2 linked regions of the Lonchura striata genome follow. The protein of the gene in region 1 interacts with the protein of each later gene in a biochemical or structural test. Links are inferred from orthologs where the notes say so. Each region holds a gene or a part of one and is shown on either strand. Other genes may lie near its edges.

Evidence for each region. The genes of interacting proteins can lie anywhere in the genome.
Region 2: of the proteins of AURKA (region 1) and NIN, one has a biochemical effect on the other in vitro, tested with the Homo sapiens proteins (2 studies listed by BioGRID). The link is inferred for Lonchura striata from reciprocal best matches to the Homo sapiens genes AURKA and NIN.

What each region holds. Positions count from the first base shown.
Region 1 is NC_134619.1:2,536,833-2,547,158, reverse strand, and holds the start of AURKA (aurora kinase A), read left to right. Parts: upstream 1-6,231; coding exon 6,232-6,285; intron 6,286-6,906; coding exon 6,907-7,186; intron 7,187-7,721; coding exon 7,722-7,797; intron 7,798-8,413; coding exon 8,414-8,605; intron 8,606-8,836; coding exon 8,837-8,975; intron 8,976-9,311; coding exon 9,312-9,460; intron 9,461-10,026; coding exon 10,027-10,201; intron 10,202-10,326. Other genes in the region: CSTF1 (cleavage stimulation factor subunit 1), read right to left, coding at 147-344, 1,415-1,692, 2,933-3,128, 3,957-4,118, 5,015-5,134. UniProt on the Homo sapiens protein: Mitotic serine/threonine kinase that contributes to the regulation of cell cycle progression.
Region 2 is NC_134608.1:2,262,243-2,272,648, forward strand, and holds the start of NIN (ninein), read right to left. Parts: upstream 4,280-10,406; 5' UTR 4,229-4,279; intron 1-4,228. UniProt on the Homo sapiens protein: Centrosomal protein required in the positioning and anchorage of the microtubule minus-end in epithelial cells. May also act as a centrosome maturation factor.

The sequences.
Region 1 (10,326 bases):
CATGATGCACAGAATTAAGACACAATCTCTGTAATGTCTGCAAATGCTGTAGCTGCGTGCTCCTGCACCCCCCTGAGGCACAGCTCAGCTCACACCACCTCAGCACTCAGACATCTGAGCTTTGGCTGCCCTGAGCAGTATCTCACCTGGATGTATTTGAAGGCTCTTTTGGCAGAAGGTTTTGAATAATCAAACAATTTAAGTGTGTAGTCCCTTGAGCCAGATGCCAGGATCTGTTCTGTTGGGTGGAAAGCTAAACACGTCACTTCATCCACGTGATCGTACAGAGTCCGGATCACAGGGTGGTTCTCCATGTTCTGCTGCGCTGTCTCATTCATCATGACCTACAAAGAACATTCAACATGTTGCTGCTCTTGGAAAATAAAGCAGGTTTTTGACAGGAAAAGTAGGTTTTAGGCTTGCCAGAGTGGCTGAACTGCAGCTCCTCTCTAACACAACCAGGCACACAATCTGTTCCCTTGGTTATCTGAAGGCCCTCTGCAGGTCAACAAATAAGATCCCTGTGTCTTTATGAAGGTCAAAATAACTTGGCTCAAGGACAAACTACTTCAGTAGCAAGAAAACACCACCTTCATAAACAGCCCAAAGCAAAACACTGACTGCTGGAATAATCATGAGAAGCTGCACCAAAACTGCAGCTCTCTGCTGAGAACTTGGTGTGCGCTCTGTGCAAAAATATCCCACTTTTCATTGCCACCTGATAACTGCCTTGGAGAAAGACAAAGCACATCAATGTGTAAAACAGTTTTGAAATAACCAGTGAAAACACTGGTGGCCATGGGGGCTGCAGAGGCCCCATGGGTTTAACATGTACTGTGCTCAGACATTACAGCCACGATCAGCACCCAGAAGAAGCCACTTCTGGCTCAGCTCTCTCCCTGCTGCCAAGGGTGACACAGTGTCCTTGCCCTGGCTCTTCTTCCTTCTAAGGGACGTTATGAGCAGCTGCTGGAGTAGGCAATATGTTGAGACAGGTACTTAGTCCAACCCACTGAGGCAGCCACAAGGTACAGATATGACATGGAGAGAACGCCCAGAGTGGTTATAATCCACTATCCCAATGGGAATGGCATGGACAGGATACTCCCAGAGTGATTACAATTCATTATCCTAATGGGCATGGAATGGACAGGATATTCCCAGAGTGATTACAATCCATTATCCCAATGGGCATGGCAAGGACAGGATTCCCAGCATGGTTACAATCCCTTACCTTGATGGGCATGAACACAATTCCCAGAGTATTTACAATTCATTATCCCAATGGGAATGGCATGGACAGGATTCCCAGAGTGATATAGGCATGGCATGAACACAATTCCCAGAGTATTTACAATTCATTATCCCAACGGGCATGGCATGGACAGGATTCCCAGTGCTCACAATCCCTTACCTCGATGGGCATGGCGCTCTTGGCCAGCATCCTCTCGGTGTCCAGGATTTTGATGGAGGCATCGGCCGAGCCCGTGGCGATCAGCTGCCCGTCCCTGCTGTAGGTGGCCACGCGGCAGGGCCCCTTGTGGGAGGTGACGTAGCAGGTCTCGTACTCGGAGGCCTCGGGGGACATGGTCTGCACGTCGGCGTCGAACTCCAGGTCGATGCCGGTGCCCGGCGCCACCGTGTCCGAGCGGCCGATGGCGTACTGGACAGCGCTGTCGTCGTTCTCCATGCCTGGGGACAGCAGGGTGGCACTCAGGGCTGGCAGCCTTCCCCTCAGCCTGCCACGGCTCCAGGGAAGGTTTGGGAAAGGCAGTCCTGGGGGAGAGCTGAGCTGGCAGAGCAGGTTGGGTCACACAGCACTGGGGAGGAGTGAGGGAGAGATGGGCTGCACTGGAGCAGGCTCAGCTCCTCAGGAGCTCTGGGAATACCCCCAGTGAAGATTGGGAAATCAGTCACTGACCATGCACAGGCCTCCGGTCAGCTTTTCACAGAAGAGCAATAAGCTCCAACACTATTACGTGAGTTTTAAAGTAAAAACCCAAAGTATTTACTGATTCTTTTCCTATTTGTTTGCTCTGACGCCAAACTGTCCCAGCACTGCAAGAGAAAAAACTCGCTGGTCTTCAAGCCCACTTCCCAGACTTTTATCTTTATTTTCAAGATCCAGTTACAGACTAGGGTTCAGCCTGGAGGTGGCAACAGAGCAGACACAAGAGTTTTCAGCCCAGTGGTGATCTTTTTGCTGCTTTCATCTGCTCATTTCAAGTCTAGAATTTGCATTTCAAACAGACACAAAGCTTCACAGACTTATACCCTCAGAACTCAGCTAGTTCAGGCAGCAGAACCAGTTGGGTTACACATGGTGTCATGGCCAGAGCTCCTCCAGGACTTGGTCAGCTTGTTCCAAGAGCAGGTCAGGGGTTTTCCCCGTTTTCCCCACAATGTGGCACTTCCAGAGGGAAGTACAGGGAGGGAACAGGTGACAGCCCTGCTGAGACCCCAGAGTGTGCAGCTGTTTCCTGGGGACTGATCTATAAAAGCCAGCAAAGATTGCCAAGGGAAGGACCTGCTCCCTCTCCAACACTGCCAGGAACAGCCAGACAGGAATTATTTCTTTCTCAAGTCAGCAGAACTATAAGGCTGAGATTTTCCCTCAGATCTGGGGGTTCAGTGACCCCATTCACTGGGGTGTTTTGAGAAGGCTGCCACCCACCCAGAACCCTGAGTGTCTTTAGAGGAGTTCAAACAGATTTGGGCCACACTCAGGGATCTGGTTTGCTGTTAATCACACAGGGATGCCCTTCATAACCCCACAGAGGCAAAGGCTGTACCCAGATGTACAAGTGCTGTGCTATTACCAGACACCACCTTTGCATCAGAGGTGTCTTTCCAGTGACACCAACCTCTTACTTCAGTGGGGAATTAGAAACTAGACTTTTATGTCAGCTTTTGATTCCAGATTCCAGCTTACCTAACTTAATTAAGTGCAGCAGTTGTTCAGAGGGTGCACACACAGACTGTGGTTTGATCTCATTTATCAAGCCATTGGCAATGTTGATGTATCCATCATAGAGCAGCTGGCTAATTATCAGTTTGTAAAGTTGCTGACGATCTTTCAAACTGACTTTTGTCCTATACATTGTGAGCAGGGACTGCCTTGGGGGGGCCTGGAATGAAGAACAGAAATCACATACGAGACAGTTGCACGAAACCACCAGAACCTTGGAACAAATCTCAGGGCAGGCACCAAATATTGCTTTGGTTTTGGTGAAAAGCAGAGATGGGGAGAGGAAGGTGGGGGAGGAAGAGGAGTAAAAAGGGAGAGAAAGAAGAGGAAAGGGGGAAGAAAAGGTGGTAGAAAGGGAAGGAAAAGATGGGAGAAAGGGATGGAAAAGACAGGAGAAAAGAACAGAAAAGAAGGGATGGAAAGGAAGGAAATGACGGGAGAAAAGGAAAGAAAAGGGAAGGAAAAGACTCGGGAAAGGGGAGGAAAAGACTTGGGAAAAAGGGATGGAAAGATGGGGAAAAGGGATGGAAAAGACGAGAGAAGGGGAGGGAAAAGGGAAGGAAAAGACGAGAGAAGGGGAGGGAAAGGGAAGGAAAAGACTTGAGGAAAGGAAGGAAGACAGGGGAGAAAGGGGAGGCAAACGGGAGGAAAAGGGGGAGGTAACAGGGAGGAAAAAGGGGGAAAGGGAAGGAAAAGGGGAGGAAAAACCTGTTGCGCTGCCTTTCTGTGTGACTGCAAACCTCGGCCGCAGAGCGGCCCGCACTCGCTACGCGGCAGCGGAGCCGGCGGCAGGAGCCGAGCGCGCCGGCCGGTGCTGCCGGCGGGCCCGGGGATGGATGGATGGATGGGTGGGTGGATGGGTGCGCGGGGCGCGCACGACAGCCCCGCCGCCCGCCCCGCGGGGAGCCCCGCGCCCTCCCCGCCCCGCCGGCGGCCCGGGCCCGCGCGGGGCGGGCCGAGCCGCGGTGCGGGCGGTGCCGGTACGTACCGAGCCTTCCTTCTGCCGCCCGCGCTCTGCCCCTAAGATGGCGGCGGGCGCGCGGAGCGCATCGAGCGGCGGCGGCGGCAGCGGCGGGGGCGGCCGGGCCCGCAGGACGCTCCTCCGCGAAGGCTGCTGCATCGAGCGCCCGCACATCGATGGGAGGCGGCTCTTGGGGGGGGGACACGACACAACGGGGCGGCGTCACGGCAGCGCCACGCCCCCCGCGTCACGGGGAGGGACCCCCGGGTAGGGGGGACAGACCCCCGGTACCGTTCTGGGGGTCCCGGTCCCGCTTTGGGCTTCCCACCCCCGATCCCGCTCCGGGAGTCCCGATCCTGCTACGGGGGTCCCGATCCCGCTTTGGGGTTCCCATCCTCGATCCCGCTCCGAGGGTCCCGGTCCCCGATCCTGCTTGGGAGCTCCGATCCCGCTTCGGGGGTCCCGATCCCGCTCCTGCTTGGGAGCCCCGATCCCGCTTCGGGGGTCCCCGGAGCCCCGATCCCGCTTCGGGGGTCCCCATCCCGGATCGCGCTCCGGGGGTCCCGATCCCAAATCCCCACTCCCCCCCGGGGAATCCCGGGGTCCTTCTCCCCGTTCCCCCTCCCGGGGGTCCTGGGCGACCCCCCTCCCCATTTCTCCCCTTCCAGGGGTCCCTTCTCTCCACCCCGCCCCTTCCGGGGGTCCCGCTGCCCATTCTCCCTTTCAGGGATCCCGGGGGTCCCGCTGCCCATTCCCCCTCCCCATCCCTCCCTCCCGGGGACGCCGAGGGTCCATCCCCCCGTTCCCCTTCGGGGCCAGCGGGGCGCTGGGAAGGCCGCGGAGCCGCTCTCGGGGCGGGGGAGCGGCGCGGGCCCGGCCCCCGGCGGGCGCGGGGGGGAGCCCGGGGCTTCTTTTGTGTCGCAGCCGCAAAGCTCCGGAGCGCCGCTTCCGCCAGCGCCCGGATCCCAAACACGGCGACGTGAACGGGCTGGGAATGAAGCGGCTGGCGCGGCTGCCCAGCAGCGCTGCGGGCGGGCCCGGCCCCGGCCCCGGCGCAAACCGTCCCCGCCCCGAGCGCTACTCACGTCAGCCTCGAGGAAGGGCAGGCGGAGCGGGCGCGGGTCGAGCAGCGGGGCTGCCATGCCCCCCATGCCCCGGGGCAGCTGTCGTCTGTCACACGCTGCAGCGACACGGCGACCCGACATCTTCTTTTTACCTATCCTGAACCACTTGTAAACACCGACACACACAACCAGGCTCTCCTTCGCTCTTGTTTTCAGCACCGCGGAGACAGTGAACTTTTCAGTGCCTTGCCTCGCAGTTCTTCACCAGCTCCGAGCGCCGAGCGGAGTTTCCCTGGCGGGGACCCGCGGGGCAGCAGCGCCTGACGCCGCGCTCGCTGCGCTGCTCGCGGGCCGCGCTCGCTGAGCGGCCGCGCTGCCGCTGTCCCGGCGCCTGCGAGGGGTGCGCGGTCGCTCGGGCCGGGCCGGGCGGGGCCTTGGCGCTCGGCGCTCGCCCTGAAGCGCTGCCGGCACGTGGCGCTGCCCGGGGCCGCACCGGGGAGGCTCCGGCCCTGCTCGGCCCGTCCGGGGGGGGCACGCACACAATGGCCCCGCTGGCGCTCGGCCCCACGCGCGCTGGCAGCGGCGCCGCTGCCCGGCCTCGCCCGGGGGTGGGCGGGGGTGTGTTGGGGGGGAGTCCGGCGGGAGCGGGACTGACCTGGCGGCGCTCCCGGGGCGCGGAGCGGAGCGGAGGCGGCGGCGGCCACAGGTGGGAGCGCGGCGCGTTACGCGATTTGCGTAGCGGAAGCGGCGGCTCGGCCCGGCGGGAAGTGCGCGGGCGGCGCGCGCCGGGGTGGGGGGGGCGGCGCGGCGCTACGCAAAGTGCGTAACGCGCCGCACGGCGACAACGCCGGTGGAGGGGCGCGGCGCGGCGAGGCGCGTGCGCCCCTCGCGGCCCGGCGGAGCGCGCCTGGTAACCAATAGGCGAGCGGGCCGCCCGCGGGAGGAGCCAATCAGCGTGCGCGGGCCGCGGGAGGGCGGCCAATGGCGGGCGGCGGGGGTTTAAAGGGGTATTTAAGGCGCGGCGGTTTGAATTCAAACAGCTCCGGCGGCCCTGAGGCGGCGGCTCCGCGCTGAGCGCCGGGCCTGAGGGCGGGCGGGGGGGATTGGTGATGGATCTCTGCCGATAAACAGTGGGGATCGATAAGGGACCCGCCATTTCCTGTGCTCCGCTCGCTGAGCCCCGCTGGCTCCCTCTCGCCCTCAGCCAGAGCCGCTCGGGCCGCTCCCGCTCTGGCGCTATGGACAGGAACATGAAGGAGAACCACGCTGCCTGCCCCGGCCGCGCCGCCAAGGTAGACCGCGTATTTCACACCCTTATGTTCCTCTTCCTGAGCAATTTCTTCTGCTGCATCCTTGGACTCGATGCCTGGGAGTTTGCCATTAAAGTTCTGCTAGGTTCTGGAGTGGTGGTTTTTAGTTTTTGCTTGGTGGGTTTGTTTCTCCCCATCGCATATTAACTAGAAATTTGTCTTTCAGTGCCTTTCTCCTAGAGAAAACAGAGCCCCGAGCAGTTTTTAAAAATTATTGTTAATATTAGCCTATCTTATTAAATGGGGAAATCTTCCTTCTATTGCAAGTATTTAAGAGCTCTTAAAGAGAAAGTGAGTGTGTATTATCAAATTATTTTAGATACAGTTTTTAAAAGCAAGTGCTGTGTACATGTGCAGCAGTGCTCAAGATCACCCTTATTATTGTGTTTCTTCTATTTAGAAATACAGGCACTTTGTCAGTATTTTATATAAAGCCAAATAGACCTGATAAGTTTTTGGAACAGCATAAGCAAAATTTTCTTTTAATCAACTAAATACGTGATTCTGTTAAAGTGCTTTTGTGTGGCCGTGCCATCCTGAATGGGGCCGTGAGGGCTGTGCTGTGCTGTTGCACAATTAACGCCTTCTCCTTTCTCTTTGAAGGTCTCCAATCCCATCGGGGATGCCCCCAGACGTGTCCCCGTGTCGCAGCACTCAGCCCCGAGCCGCTCACTGACCACTGGAGCTCCAGCCCGAGTTCTGTGTCCCGCAAACTTTGCCCAGCGAGTCCCCGCGCAACCCCAAAAACCTGTTCTGTCCACCCAAAAACAACCCAGCAACCAACCAGCTCAGCAGCTCCAACCCAAAGTGCCCCAGCAGGCTGCTGTGAGACCTCAGGCTGCAAGCAAGGGCAGTGAGAAACCTCCCCAGGCTGCAGCACCTGGTAATTCTGAGGATGATTTTGTGTGATTGCAGCTGTGACACTCGGGATGCTCCTAAAGCTGCTGCTGATCCAGGGACAGTCCTGCAGGGAAGTTCTTGGTTGTGCCCCCAAACAGAAGAGCAGTACGTGGTTCACCTCGGGTGTTACTGCACCATCCTTATGAATTTACCTCTAAATTAACAGAGATAAATTAGATAAATTAGGGACATTATGGTGTTAAAAACTTGTAGGTGCTCAGCAGACAGCTCGGAGTTAATGTCATTTGCATTCAGACTTCACAGGTTTTCCAAGTGTCCAGGGATACTTTTGTCTGGGGAGGGGGAAAGAATTCATGGAGTTTTATGCTCCATAAGCTTTTAAAATTGCATTTTGCCAGCACTGTTTCTTCCCTAGCAGTCAGCCATGCTAGTTTAATTAAAATGTCACTGAATGGGTTCTAAAAACTGCTTCAGATGATGCACAGGGGTTAGATTTGTTCATGTGTGTGTGTGCCCATGAGTCTGGTTCATTAACTGATTTCCTTCTCTGTACACAGCACAAAACCCTGAAGCAGAAAGCACCTCTAAACAGAAAACTGAAGAGACCAAGAAGAAAAGTGAAGAGACTAAAAAGTAAGTTTATGCCTGAATTCTGGATAACTGAGCCCTGCTGGAGCTCCTTTGGCTGTGGAGCCTGGTGACCCCCTTGCTTTGCAGACACCTCACAAGGAAAAGCAGCCTTTGACCTGATAATTGTCAGGAACAAGGACTTGTTGGAATCTAAAGAAAACTTCGGGCTAAATGCAGAGTGGCTCTTCCCATGGGAGAGCACTGATAGCTGCTGCCTCAGTCACTAGATGTACTCCTGAAAACAAAGCCTCCTTCATCTGGGCAGGAGGCTGGAGTCTATTTTGATATGAAACTGGATTTGTTTATGGCAACTTTAAATTGTTTTGCCATGCCCTGGTGATGTGTCTGGGTTAGGAGTATCTGAAGGAGCCCAGCTTGGTAAACAGACTTCATTTTGTAGTAGTGTGGTTGGTGTAGTGTCTGCAGAAGCTTCAGGAGGAAAGAAAATAGTTTTCACAACTTCCTTTTGAAAAATCTCAATGCTTTTATTCTCTAGGTATTTTCTTAAAGACTAAAATCTAGTTTAGAGCACTAAGCATCTCTTGAACAGCAATGTTATAAACTGTAAATTTGAGTCAAATCCAACACAACTATCCAGCTTTTAACTTTCCTCTTGCAGAAGGCAATGGTCCCTCGACGATTTTGAAATTGGTCGTCCTCTGGGGAAAGGAAAATTTGGGAATGTGTACCTGGCACGTGAAAAACAGAGCAAATTTATTCTCGCACTGAAAGTGCTCTTTAAAACACAGCTTGAGGAAGCTGGTGTAGAACATCAACTACGAAGAGAAGTGGAAATACAGTCTCATCTTAGGTAAAGTTCAGTGACTATTTACTCTGCTTTGTTTGCACCCAAATAAACAAGGTGACCTTGGTTATGATGAGGCTTCTTTATGATAAGGGGTTTGTGTGTTGTGAGCTGAAGGAACACGGATGAGCTGAAATTCCTGTGCTTCCCTTGAAAGCGGAAGGGAACAGGAAAAGGTGGGAAATTGAAGGTTTTGGCAAACACCTGATTCAGAAGAACATTGAAATCTCTTTGCAGGCACCCCAACATTCTCAGATTATATGGCTACTTCCATGATGTGACAAGAGTCTACCTGATCCTGGAGCACGCACCTCGTGGGGAGGTCTACAGGGAGCTTCAGAGGCTCAGCAAGTTCGATGAGCAAAGAACTGCTACTGTAGGTTGTTCCAGCTTCCTCTCCATTCCTGTATCTGGGATATCTGCAGGACAGAGCCAACCCTTCAGATCAAGTTCTGTATTCTGCTGGGGGACACTGAGATTCCTTAGCTGCTAGTTGGCATCTGGGCAGGGAATAATTGGGAAGGGTTAGGGCTGTGCAGGAATTTATGTTCAGAATTGCTTAATATTGCAAGTCACAGCCTGTATTGCCAGGCTTCGAGTGTAAAGGAATAATTGCTTTAATTTAAAATTATAATTATGGCTCCAAAAGGCTGTGCTGCAGCCAGATAAACTCAGGTGACAATATCTTAAAGATTATTCTTTCTGCACCCAGTACATCACAGAACTTGCAGATGCCCTCTCGTACTGTCACTCCAAGCGTGTGATCCACAGAGACATCAAGCCAGAGAATTTGCTGCTAGGATCCAATGGAGAGTTAAAAATTGCTGACTTTGGGTGGTCTGTGCATGCTCCATCTTCTAGGTGAGAATTCAATCTCTTGTGCACTGGAATCCTTCTGTAGTGTCAGTTTTTATCACACAGTTGTGGAAGGGAGGTACGTGGGAACTTCCTGAAATACTGGGGAAAAATGCTGCTATAACAAAGGGCCTAACAGGCAACTGGTGTGACAGAGGAGGGTTGTTAGCCTGGTTTTTAGTTCAAACCTTGCTGGCCCTCAGAGGAAGGCTGGTGTAGGGTTACTGTGCTCCCTGAGATGACAAACCTGCACTTGGACTCGGACATTACACTGGCAATTTGGTTATTTCTGAGAGAGTGGGAAATGGCACCTGAGAAGGGAGGAACAGGTTTGTTCTAGCATGTGGGGTGAAGAAAGGAGCTAAGACTGACTGATTGCAGGGAATGAAATACTTTCAGTAGAAGTAGAAAATGTCCTGCTGGCTTTTCTTTCCCAGCTGTTCTGATGGTGCCGAGTCCATTCAGGTGGACTGCACTGAGGTACAGATGATTGCCAGCATTAGTTCTTATCTGACTCTTGAAATAGATCCTCTAATTATCTTAATCAATGATTAACTTGGACTTTTCTTCAGGAGAACAACTCTCTGTGGGACACTTGACTACCTGCCTCCTGAAATGATTGAGGGAAGAACACATGATGAAAAGGTGGATATTTGGAGTCTGGGAGTTCTGTGCTATGAGTTCCTTGTAGGAAAACCACCTTTTGAAACAGAAACCTATCAAGAAACCTACAGAGCTATTTCCAGGGTAAGTGCCAGTGCTTATCTGGATTAGCTGGGTCGTGCTTTTAGTTCTAGAAAGGTTTCAGCAAACTTAAGTTTGAAACGTAATGAAAACAAAAACAAGAATATACAAATACTTTCACAAGCAAC
Region 2 (10,406 bases), on another chromosome or scaffold:
TCCAATTGCAGCCCAATTGCACAGCCCTGCCCAGCCCAGGCAGGAAATCTCCAGGGCAGGCACTGCAGCAGCCGTGTCCTTGATTTCCCTGGCTGCAGGAGCAGATGCCAGGGCAGAGCATCCTCTGGATGCCACATCTGGTGACAGGCAGCACGCAGAGCCCACGGGACAGGGACCCTGCACTGCCACGGGCAGGGATGGCTGTGGACACTCCATGGATGGACACAACCCCTCCACCTCAGCCTCACACCCTCCCTGTCCTATTTTTCCCCCCTCCAAATCCCTCTTGAGCTGATTTCTCACGGCACCCAAGCGCTGGGGGGAGGAGGGAGGCACAGACACATTCCACCTGGGGCACAGAGGAGGAGGCAGCACCCAAAAAACTCAGGTGCCTGCGAGCAGGAGGAAGGCAACAAACTTGTTCCCATTCCCACAGCAGCAACCCCATTCCCCAGCTGCACCCCCAGGGCTGCTCAGTGGCTGGATCCTGGTGTCAGGGAGCCCTGCCTGCACATTCCAGCGGCCCCAAAACTCACAGCAGAGATGACTCCAACCCACAGAGCTTCCCAAGCATTTCTGAACCTCTTCTCTTCAGGGTCAGCCACCTCCTGCCCCCCCCAGAGATGTCTCCAGCACCTGACCCTACTGCCACACTGCCAGAACCAGTTCCCCCAGTTAGGGCAGAGAGATAAATGCCACCTCCCAGTATATCCCCGAGCATCCCTGCTGCTGGAGCACTGGGATCACCCCTCTCAATGCCACAACAGCACAGAGCCCAGAAACTCACTGTGGGCAAACCCAGCACTGGGGACCCCACAAAACCAGCGAGAAAACCCCAATCCCCTAAAGGAGGAGAGCATCAGAGCTGCGGGGGCCACCCCTGCCCGACAGCCCAGGTGAGTTTTTGGCCAGGGCAGCCTGGCACATCCCCACAGCCGGAGAGCCCAGAGGGACACGGGCTGGGGAGGGATTCCCGATTCCCAGCTCCAGGAGGGAGCAGGGATGCCAGGGCTGGTGCCTACCTGCAGCCAGAGGCCCGGGGAGCCGCAGGCAGCCCGGCGATCCCGCAATCCTGCACAACCTCCATCTTAGGCAGGCGGCTCCGGCACGCAGCACAAGGTGACCCAAGATGCCTCCTCCTGCCTGAATTATTCAGCGGCGCTTCCACAGCGGGGGGAAAAATGCCACCCAAAGCCTCCTCTCCTACCTGAGGAGCTGGCCAGGCCAGCCTGGCATCAGCCAGCAGGCACGGGAATGAGGTCAGCAGCATCAGAGGCACCTCCGGCAGCCGTGACGGGGATGGGGACCCACCAGAGGCACACAAAGCCCGAATTAAAGGGCAGCCTTTCATCTCTGCTCCAGATGGGCCAGCAGCTGAGATGCAGGAGGGCAGCCAGGATAATAGGGGCAGGCAGGCAGCAGCTGAGCTGGGGCTCCCCATCCCCAGCCAGGAGGAGAGGGGATGGTCCCAGCACAGGGCATCACTTGGTTCAGATTTATTGCTGCCCTTCTGTGCTGTTTCAAGCCCCCCAAAATGACCAGCTAGCACTGAAAAGTGCAGGTTGAGGAGAGTCAGCACCACATTATTCCTTATTTCTGTTCTCCTTATTACCAGCCCGGGGAAGCAAAGCACTCCGGGATGATGAGGAGAGGAAGTTTTCACCGGCATTTCTTTCCTGCTTTTAAATCCACCCCCTCCTGAGAGCCAGATAACCTTCACTGCACACAATGTAGGGGCCCGATAGGACTAAATTCTCAGCTAAATTTAACTCAAACAATGCAGGCTTAAACAGTGATTACTGCTTTGCATATTTAAGCGCCTGGAATCGATATCAACTTTAACCTGGAGCTAATGAAAGCACAGATTGGTCAATCAATGGCATCAGCAAGGAAAACCACCACAATTAGCACAATTATTTTTTTGGGGAGAGCGTGGTGGTTTTTTTAAACAGTGTGAATTACAGAATCCCAGAGTTACTTCAGTTGGAAGGGACCTTAAAGGCCACTTCAAGCCAACCCCCAGGCACAGGCAGGGACACCTTCCTCTAGGACAAGACAAAAATCACATTTGCTGCTGCACAAGAGGGAGATTTTGGGGATGCTCTGCCCAAATGGGCCCCCATGGGCTGCATCACTAATCAGGGCTATGGGTACCTTGCCCTTATCCCAACACTGAAGTCATCACCTCCGAGGGACAACGAGGAAAATTTTTTCTTACTGCTCCTCTTGATTGCCTCGACTCAAATGAGGGCCTGGTAATTAGCAGTAATTACCCAGCGAGGCAGCATCCTGTGGCCAACTCCAAAACACAAGCACGCACTCCATGGGATGTCACTGAGTGTCCCCCGTGTCCTGGAGAGCACGGCCACACTTGGGCACTTTAAAGCAACTTTAAAGCAACTTTCCCTTCCCACTGCACCTGTGACAACCTGGGTGATGTGAACACAGCTGGCAAAATCCACCAGCACCCCAGGTTTTCATGCTGGGGTTGTACGAGATGCCCAGCAACCACCAAACCCAGACTTTTCTGGGAAAGCCAGAGCTGAGGTTGTCTCACACTCATTATCTCCTTCCCTAATGAACCATCTCATCCATCACAGCAGCTCTGCTGAATCACAGAATTCCCTGAGCTGGAAGGGACCCACAGGGATCAGCCAGGGCAGATCCTGGCCCTGCACAGACTCCCCAACAATCCCACCCTGAGCATCCCTAGGAGTGGTGTCCAAAAGCTCCTGGAGCTCTGGCAGCCTCGGGAATGTCACCATTCATTCCCTGGGGAACCCAGGCAGTGCCAGCACCTTCTGGGGGAGAAACCTTTCCCAAAATCCAACCTAAACCTGACACAGCTCCAGACATTCCCTGGGTCCTGTCACCGGTCACCAGAGAGGAGAGCTCCGTGCCCTGTCCCTGTGTCCACCCCAAAATCCCCACACCGTGCCAGGGCAATTTCCAGCTCAGCAACACCCCATCCCCTCTTGGAGCAGCAGCTCCACGAAGGGTCACACCGAGAAACCAAAGGGAAAAACAAAACCCAAAAGGACAATGAAGCACCTTAATGTCAGTACATCACTTGACAGCACGCCCAGCTTTTCCAGGGTCACCACCAGAGTCAGCCTTACAGCTGTGGGCCATTGGCCACACTCATTTTCCTTTTGCACCTCAATGCCATCTCTCCCCGTGCACCCCAAAACCACCCCCAGACCCTCCAAAGTTGGCAGAGAGCAGCGACTCTGTTAACCAGGCTCCACTCCCGATTAGCAAAGCAGCGATGGCGTAATAAAAGCGCCATAAATTTATGTAAAGAGCTTCCAAAGCAGCGCAGCGGTTTGAATATTCACGCCAGCGCGGTATTTGCATTGTAATGGGGCTTTTCACTCCCAGCCTTGCCTCCGTAAGGAAAAACAAAGCGCCCATCTGGTTCGATTTTGCGAATCGGGCTGGGGTCGCTCCGCAGTAAGTCGGGGTGCGATAAAGCCCAAGGTGGAGGCGCAAAGCTGATTATTTCAGAAGTAAACAAAGCGAGCCGGTGATGGATGCAGCGATGCCCCGCACGCCGGGTGATGCGGGATTCGGTGATCCCCGCGGAGCTGCCGGCTCCACCGGAGCCGGGCTCTGCTGAATCACGGCGGCAGCTCCGGTTGGGGAGCACCCAGATGAGCTGGATACACCCAAATTTACACCCAGGAAAATCCCAGCACTGGATGCTCCTAGTCTGTGGATTTTGTCTCTCCTCGGCTCCATCCCTACAGGGATGCTCCAAGGGAGATGGGCCCACGGTTGGTGACCAGACAGCAGATGCTGTCTGCCACCCTGGTGACAACGAGAGCTTTGCCGATGACAAAACAACTGCTGTTATTAATTCCTCCAGCCACAGCCGGCTGCTTCCAGGGCTCAGCCCGGCGAGAGCGCTCCAGAACCCGCTCCCAGCGCTCGGAGCATCCCTCCGGCAGCAGGGACGCACGCCGGGATGGGGGGCCCTGGGCAGGAGGAGCTGTCACCCCGCGGGACCACTGCCACCAGCGCCGAGGGGACCTTGGGGGGCTTTGGGGTGGCACCCACTCACAGACACCCCTGAAATCACCGCCGCGCCCCGTGGCCACGAGTCCCCATCCCCATCACCCCCTTCCCTCCATCACCCCCCGCTCCCAGCATCCCATCCCTCCAGCATTCCCCGTTCCCCTCCAGCATCTCGCCACCCTCCGGACCCCCTCCTTCCCCAGGCACCCACCTCGCCGCTGCGCCCCTTCCCCGCCGGCGCGTCCCGGCGCCCCGCACACGCGGCCGCCCCGCCGGGAAGGGCCGGGCAGGGGCGGGCCGGGCCCCGGCACCGCCCGCGGAGGAGGGACGGAGCGGGGCGGACAGCGCTGCCCCCGCACCGGGGCTCGGGGCTGCCCCTCCCCGCTCCCGCAGCCGCCCCCTGCCCGGCCCCGCTCACCGGCTGCCGGTGCCCGCGGGCGCGGCGGGGCTGGCGGAGCGCTCGGAGCGTTGCGGGGCCGGGGGAGGCGCCGCGTTCAAATGCGGCCGCGTTTATTGGGCCGAGGCTCGGGGGCGGCCCCGGGGCTGGCCCCGGGGCGGGGGGACCGGCGGCCTTTGTGCGGCACCGCCCGGGAACGCCCCCCGGCACCGGGGTCTGCTGGGGTGGCCCGCGCCGCCGGGGTACCGGCGTGTCCCCGGTGTTCTGCACCCCAGCTTGTCGCTGTCGCGTATCACCTCAGCTTCCCGTTGTCCTGCACCTCGGGATAGTATAACCCTCGGTCCCCGATGGCCTGATCCCCCCCGGTGGCGTCACCTCGGTTCCCATCGCCCTGCACCCCAGGGGACATCACCCCATCTCCCTGCTGTTCTGCACCCCAGGGTGGCATCGGCCCAGCTCTCCACTGTCCTGGCCCCTAGGGTGACACTACCATGGTCCCCAATGTCCCACACCTCAGAGTGGCTCTTCAGTGTCCCATCCCCCCAAATGGCATCATCGCAGTTCCCGTCATTGCGCTCCCCAAGGTGGCATCACCCCAGCTCCCAGATGTCCCCTCCCCCAGGGTGACATCGCCTGAGTTCCCATCATTCTGCACCCCACGGGGACATCACCCTGGCTCCCTGCTGCCCTGCACTCCAGAGCAGCATCACCCCGGCTCCATGGGTGGCATCACCCAGCTGCCCTCTGTCCTGCACCCCAGGGTGGCATCACCCCGGCTCCATGGGTGCCATCACCCAGCTGCCCTCTGTCCTGCACCCCAGGGTGGCATCACCCCGGCTCCATGGGTGCCATCACCCAGCTGCCCTCTGTCCTGCACCCCAGGGTGGCATCACCCCGGCTCCATGGGTGCCATCACCCAGCTGCCCTCTGTCCTGCACCCCAGGGTGGCATCACCCCGGCTCTATGGGTGGCATCACCCAGCTGCCCGCTGTCCTGCACCCCAGGGTGGCATCACCCCAGCTCCCCAGCGTCCTGTCCCCCGCGGTGACATCACCCTGGTTCTCATCCTCCCACAAGCCAAGTGGACACCACCGAGTCCTTGCTGTGCTGTCCCCAAGGGTGGCATCACCCCGGCTCCACACTGTCCTGTCCCCCAGGGGACACGGCCCTGCAGCTCCTCATTGTCCCAAAAAACCACCGGCACATCACCTGGGCTGTCCCACGCCTGAAGGTCACAGCAACACATCGCTGTCCCCTGCCCTGGGGACACGACACCCCATCTCCCTGCCATCCCCGGGCCTGGGGGACAGCCCCCCAACTCTCTGTGTGTCACCGTGACAGGACAGCTGCTGTGCTGTGGCATCCACCCCTTCCACCGCCCCAGCCCCGTGTTCCGGCGCTTCCCACTCGATTTTGGGGGGGAATCACAAAACCAAGGACCCCTTCTTTCCCCAGGAGCCACCCCGCAGGGCAGCCCTGGGGTGGTGACACACAAGCCACAGGCCCCAGCAGGACTCCAGCCCCCGTTTCAAGCCCGGCAGTCCAAGGCTTGTGGATTCTCTGATGGCTAAAAAAGGGTTCCACCCCCTCTGCAATCCACTCTCGAGCAATTGCATGAGATTATTTTGCTTTTTTTTTTTTTTTTCTGGTGAAAATGCCCGGGGCAATATGACTTCTTAGCCTTCTTCCCTTTTTTTTAAGGCAGCTCTGCTCTGCGAGTTCAAGAAATTTCGTGGGGAGGAGCGAGGGGAACACAAAAAAGCCTCGCACTGGGGGGGGGGTTGGATAAACCTCGCTCAGATCATAAACCAGGCTTAAAACCCCACAGCAGAGCCACGGGTGGGTTTGCCAGCACACAAGGACATCTGGGACATGTGAGGTGACAGCAGAAAGAGCTCCAAAAAGTATTGTAATAAAATATTGTATTAAAATATTGTAATAAAATATTGTAACAGAATAGTGTAACAAAATATTGTAATAAAATATTTAGGGATGGCTTTGCTGCATGTCACCTGGCACGTCAGTGCCACCTGGCCCGGGGACAGCTCCGTGGCTGTGGGACGTGGCACAGTGTCCCCAGCACAGCCCTGGCCGGGGATGTGGCCGTGTCCCCGCGGTGACAGCAGCAGGGCAGGGTGACTCCAAAGGGAAGGGGACCCTTGGCGAGAGGCTTTGCCGGACAGATGTCAGCAGCCGTGGCTTTGTGCCGGCCGAGGGCTTTTTGTTTGGGTTTTTAACATTTGCCATTTTTCTCCGCCGCTTTCTTCTGCTCTGACACTTGCTGAGGGTTTTTTTTTTTTTCCTTTCTTTCCTTTCTTCCTCTCTTCCCACATTTGCTTTTCCATCCCCGCTTCAAACACTTTTTCTCCGCGTATTATGCTGAAGTTGGAACCATCTGGTGCTTTGTTTTGTTGCGAGCCCGGCGAGTGCCAGGACCTTTATCCCCCTCACCCTCCTCCTCCTCCTCCTCCTCCTCTTTGCCGGTGCCTCGCTAATCCAAGCGACAGCCCCGAAAAATCCCCCCCGTCCCCCAAAAAGCCACGGGCCACACGCGTGCAGGGCGGGCGATGGGGACAAGGCTCGGTGTCCCCATGTCCCCATCCCACAGGGACGTGCAGCCCCCGCTTCAGGAGCGCTGCTGATCCTCCCAGTGCAAATTCCTGACTCGTTTTTAGGACCAGCTGGTAGCAGAGGCATCCTGGTTTGATTTTCCCCGTAGGAGAAAAGCGTGTTTCTAGGGAGCCGCGGAGCCGTGCCAGACACAAAACCCTCCGAGCCTATTTTTGGAGCTCCTTTCCCAGCGAGCAGCTGCGCTCCGGGATGGGCATTTCCCGGGAAATGCCACCCCGGAGCTGGGAGGAAGGAAACCTCGGCTCAAGCGACCCACGGTGTCACAAAATTCGGGATACGTGGGAAACGCCGCGATTGCGGGCCATCAGCCGCCGAGGGTGGCACGGAGCCACCCAAAATCAGGGGCAGGCGGTGGGTGACCCCTGTGCCAGGCCGTGGGTGCTCGGCTCCTGCAGAAACACCCTCCCGGCTTGGCTCGGGCTGCTCCGTCACGCTTTCCTTCCCATTTTCCCTGAACAATGGGGTGCTTTGTTCTAGGGCGAGGAAAAGTCCGGCTGCTGCGCTGGGGGAGATGCTTCTGCATTCCTGGGCTCTTTCCAGCTGCGCCCTGCTGGGCACAGGAACCCCTCGGCCCGCCCAGGACAAGGGGAAGAGGGTCATCAAATAGCCAAAGAATTAAAAAAAAAAAAAAATAAAGAAAAAGGAAAAAAAAAAAAGCCATGAAACCATCAGCAAAACGTAAAGGGGAAAAGGAAAAGACGCTGTATGGAAAAAAAAAAAACCAGCTGGAGGGAACCTCCCCATCTCCCAGCTGGTGCCGGGAGAAGTTTGGAATGACATAAGCCCAAACTTTGCTATTTTTTACACAAAACAAAGGCTAAGCCGCAGCGGTACCTCCGCGGCTCGCTGCTGCCATCCCACGTCCGGCTCCAATCGCCTTCCCAGCGCCTCCTCCCGAGCCTGATCCTGCCTCATTCCAGCCGAGGATTTTCCCTTCAGCCCAGGAAAAACTCCTGTTAGCCGCCTTTGCTGTGCTGGCTCTTTCATGGCAAGAAATATTTGGGTGGTTGCTCCGTCCTGGTGAGGTTCCCGAGCTCCGTGCCAGCCTCTTCCAGCCCGCAGGAGCTCCAGAGCCCCCGGGCACCGTGCCCATCCCTGTGGGCATCACTGGAATTGTTGGGCATCGCCTTCCCCCCTTGAGAAGTCACTGCTGAGCTGCAGCCAGAGCACTCGCTGGGAATGGGGAAAAATTTGGGATGGAAGGAGAAGCTGTGGTCTGTGAAACCAGATGGGAATGGGGAAAAATTGGGGGTGGAAGGAAAAGCTCTGGCCCACAAAACCAGCTGGGAATGGGGAAAAATTTGGGGTGGAAGGAAAAGCTCTGGCCTGTGAAACCAACTGGGAATGGGGGAGAAATGGGGATGGAAGGAAAAGCTCTGGCTCATGAAATCAGCTGGGAATGAGGAAAAATAGGAGATGGAAGGAAAAGTTCTGGCCTGTGAAACCAGCTGGGAATGGGGGAAAATTGGGAGTGGAAGGAAAAGCTCTGCCCTGTGAAACCAGCTGGGAATAGGGAAAATTGGGGGTGGATGGAAAAGCTCTGGCTCATGAAATCAGCTGGAAATGGGGAAAAAATGGGGGTGGAAGGAAAAGTTCTGGCCTGTGAAACCAGCTGGGAATGTGGAAGAATTAAGGGTGGAAGGAAAAGGTCTGGTTCACAAAACCAGCTGGGAATGTGGAAGAATTTGGGATGGAAGGAAAAGCTCTGTCCTGTGAAACCAGCTGGGAATGGGGAAAAATTGGGGATGGAAGGAAACCTCTTGCTGATGAAAGCAGCCGGGTCTGTTGGTCATTTCCCCCGTTCTTGTGCCCCTGGAGCATGGAGGAGCAGCTGGAGCTGCCTTGTGGCACCTCCTTGCAGCAGCTGCTGCTGGGGAACGCCTGCCCACAGCCCCAGCTTCACTGGACCTGTTTGTCTTTGCATTTGCATTTTGCTGCTGAGGCAGGGTTAGATTAGATATTGGGAAAGAATTGTTCCCTGTGAGGGTGGGGAGGTCCACACAGGGTGCCCTGGGTCCCTGGAAGTGTCCCAGGCCAGGTTGGACAGGGCTTGGAGCAACCTGGGACAGTGGAAGGTGTCCCTGTCATGGCAGGGGTGGGATGGGATGGTCTTCAAGGCCCCTTGAACCCAAACCATTCTGGGATTCCATGATTCCAACGCAGCACAGGTTTTAATTTGGAGGGCAGATGAATAAAAGCAGCTCCAAATGCCAGCCTGGGTGGCTGGTCCTCTGGGAAAGGTTCATCCCAGCCCTCCCCCAGCTGATTGATGGGGTCCCTGCTGTGGGCCCCACTGGCAGCTGAGGTGATGAAGGGCTGGCCCAGCTGTGGGTGTCTTCCAGCAGCACATCCTCCTGCAGCTGGCAGGATTTCCCAGGGAATTCTGCTGAAGCAGGGATATTTCTCTCCCGGTGGGAAGTTTCATCCTGAAAAAGTCTAGCTGACTCACCCTGACACGGCTGCAGGTGGGAGGCTCAGCAGCAGCAGGTTTCCACCCTTCCTGCTCGATCCTAGGCACACCAGCTTTAGTGTTAAACCATTTAAAATGATTTTTACTTTTTGACCTGGAAGCATTCCCTCTGTGCTCCTTGCCTGTGGAAAGGCTGTTTTCCCTGGTGTGGCACCTCACTGCTGGCACCATGCTCCCCCTGGTCTCTTTTGGGGGACAGAGGACTGCATATTTTCTAGGGTCCCCTCTAAACCCACTCAGCCCTGGGTCATAGGGGGCTGGGTGGGTTTTTCTAGATTTTCTGGATTTTAAACCTGCACGTCCTTGGGGGACAGAGAACTACAGAGATCTCCTGGGGTTCCTGGGGGACAGGGCACTGCCACCCTGGTGGCATCCCTCTAGACCCAACCAGCGTGGGGGACAAGGGGATGACACCCTGCCAGAGACTCCTGTACCCAGCCAGCGTGGGGGACAAGGGGATGCCACTGTGACAGAGACCCCTGTGACCCAGCCAGCGTGAGGGACAAGGGGATGTCACCATGCCAGAGACCCCGGCCAGCATGGGGGACAAGGGGATGCCACCATGTCAGAGACCCCTGTGACCCGGCCAGCATGAGGGACAAGGGGATGCCACCATGCCAGAGACCCCGGCCAGCATGAGGGACAAGGGGATGCCACCGTGCCAGAGACCCCTGTGACCCGGCCAGCATGGGGGACAAGGGGATGCCACCATGTCAGAGACCCCTGTGACCCGGCCAGCATGAGGGACAAGGGGATGCCACCGTGCCAGAGACCCCTGTGACCCGGCCAGCCTGGGGAACAAGGGGATGCCACCCTGCCAGAGACCCCGGCCAGCATGAGGGACAAGGGGATGCCACCGTGCCAGAGACCCCTGTGACTCAGCCAGCCTGG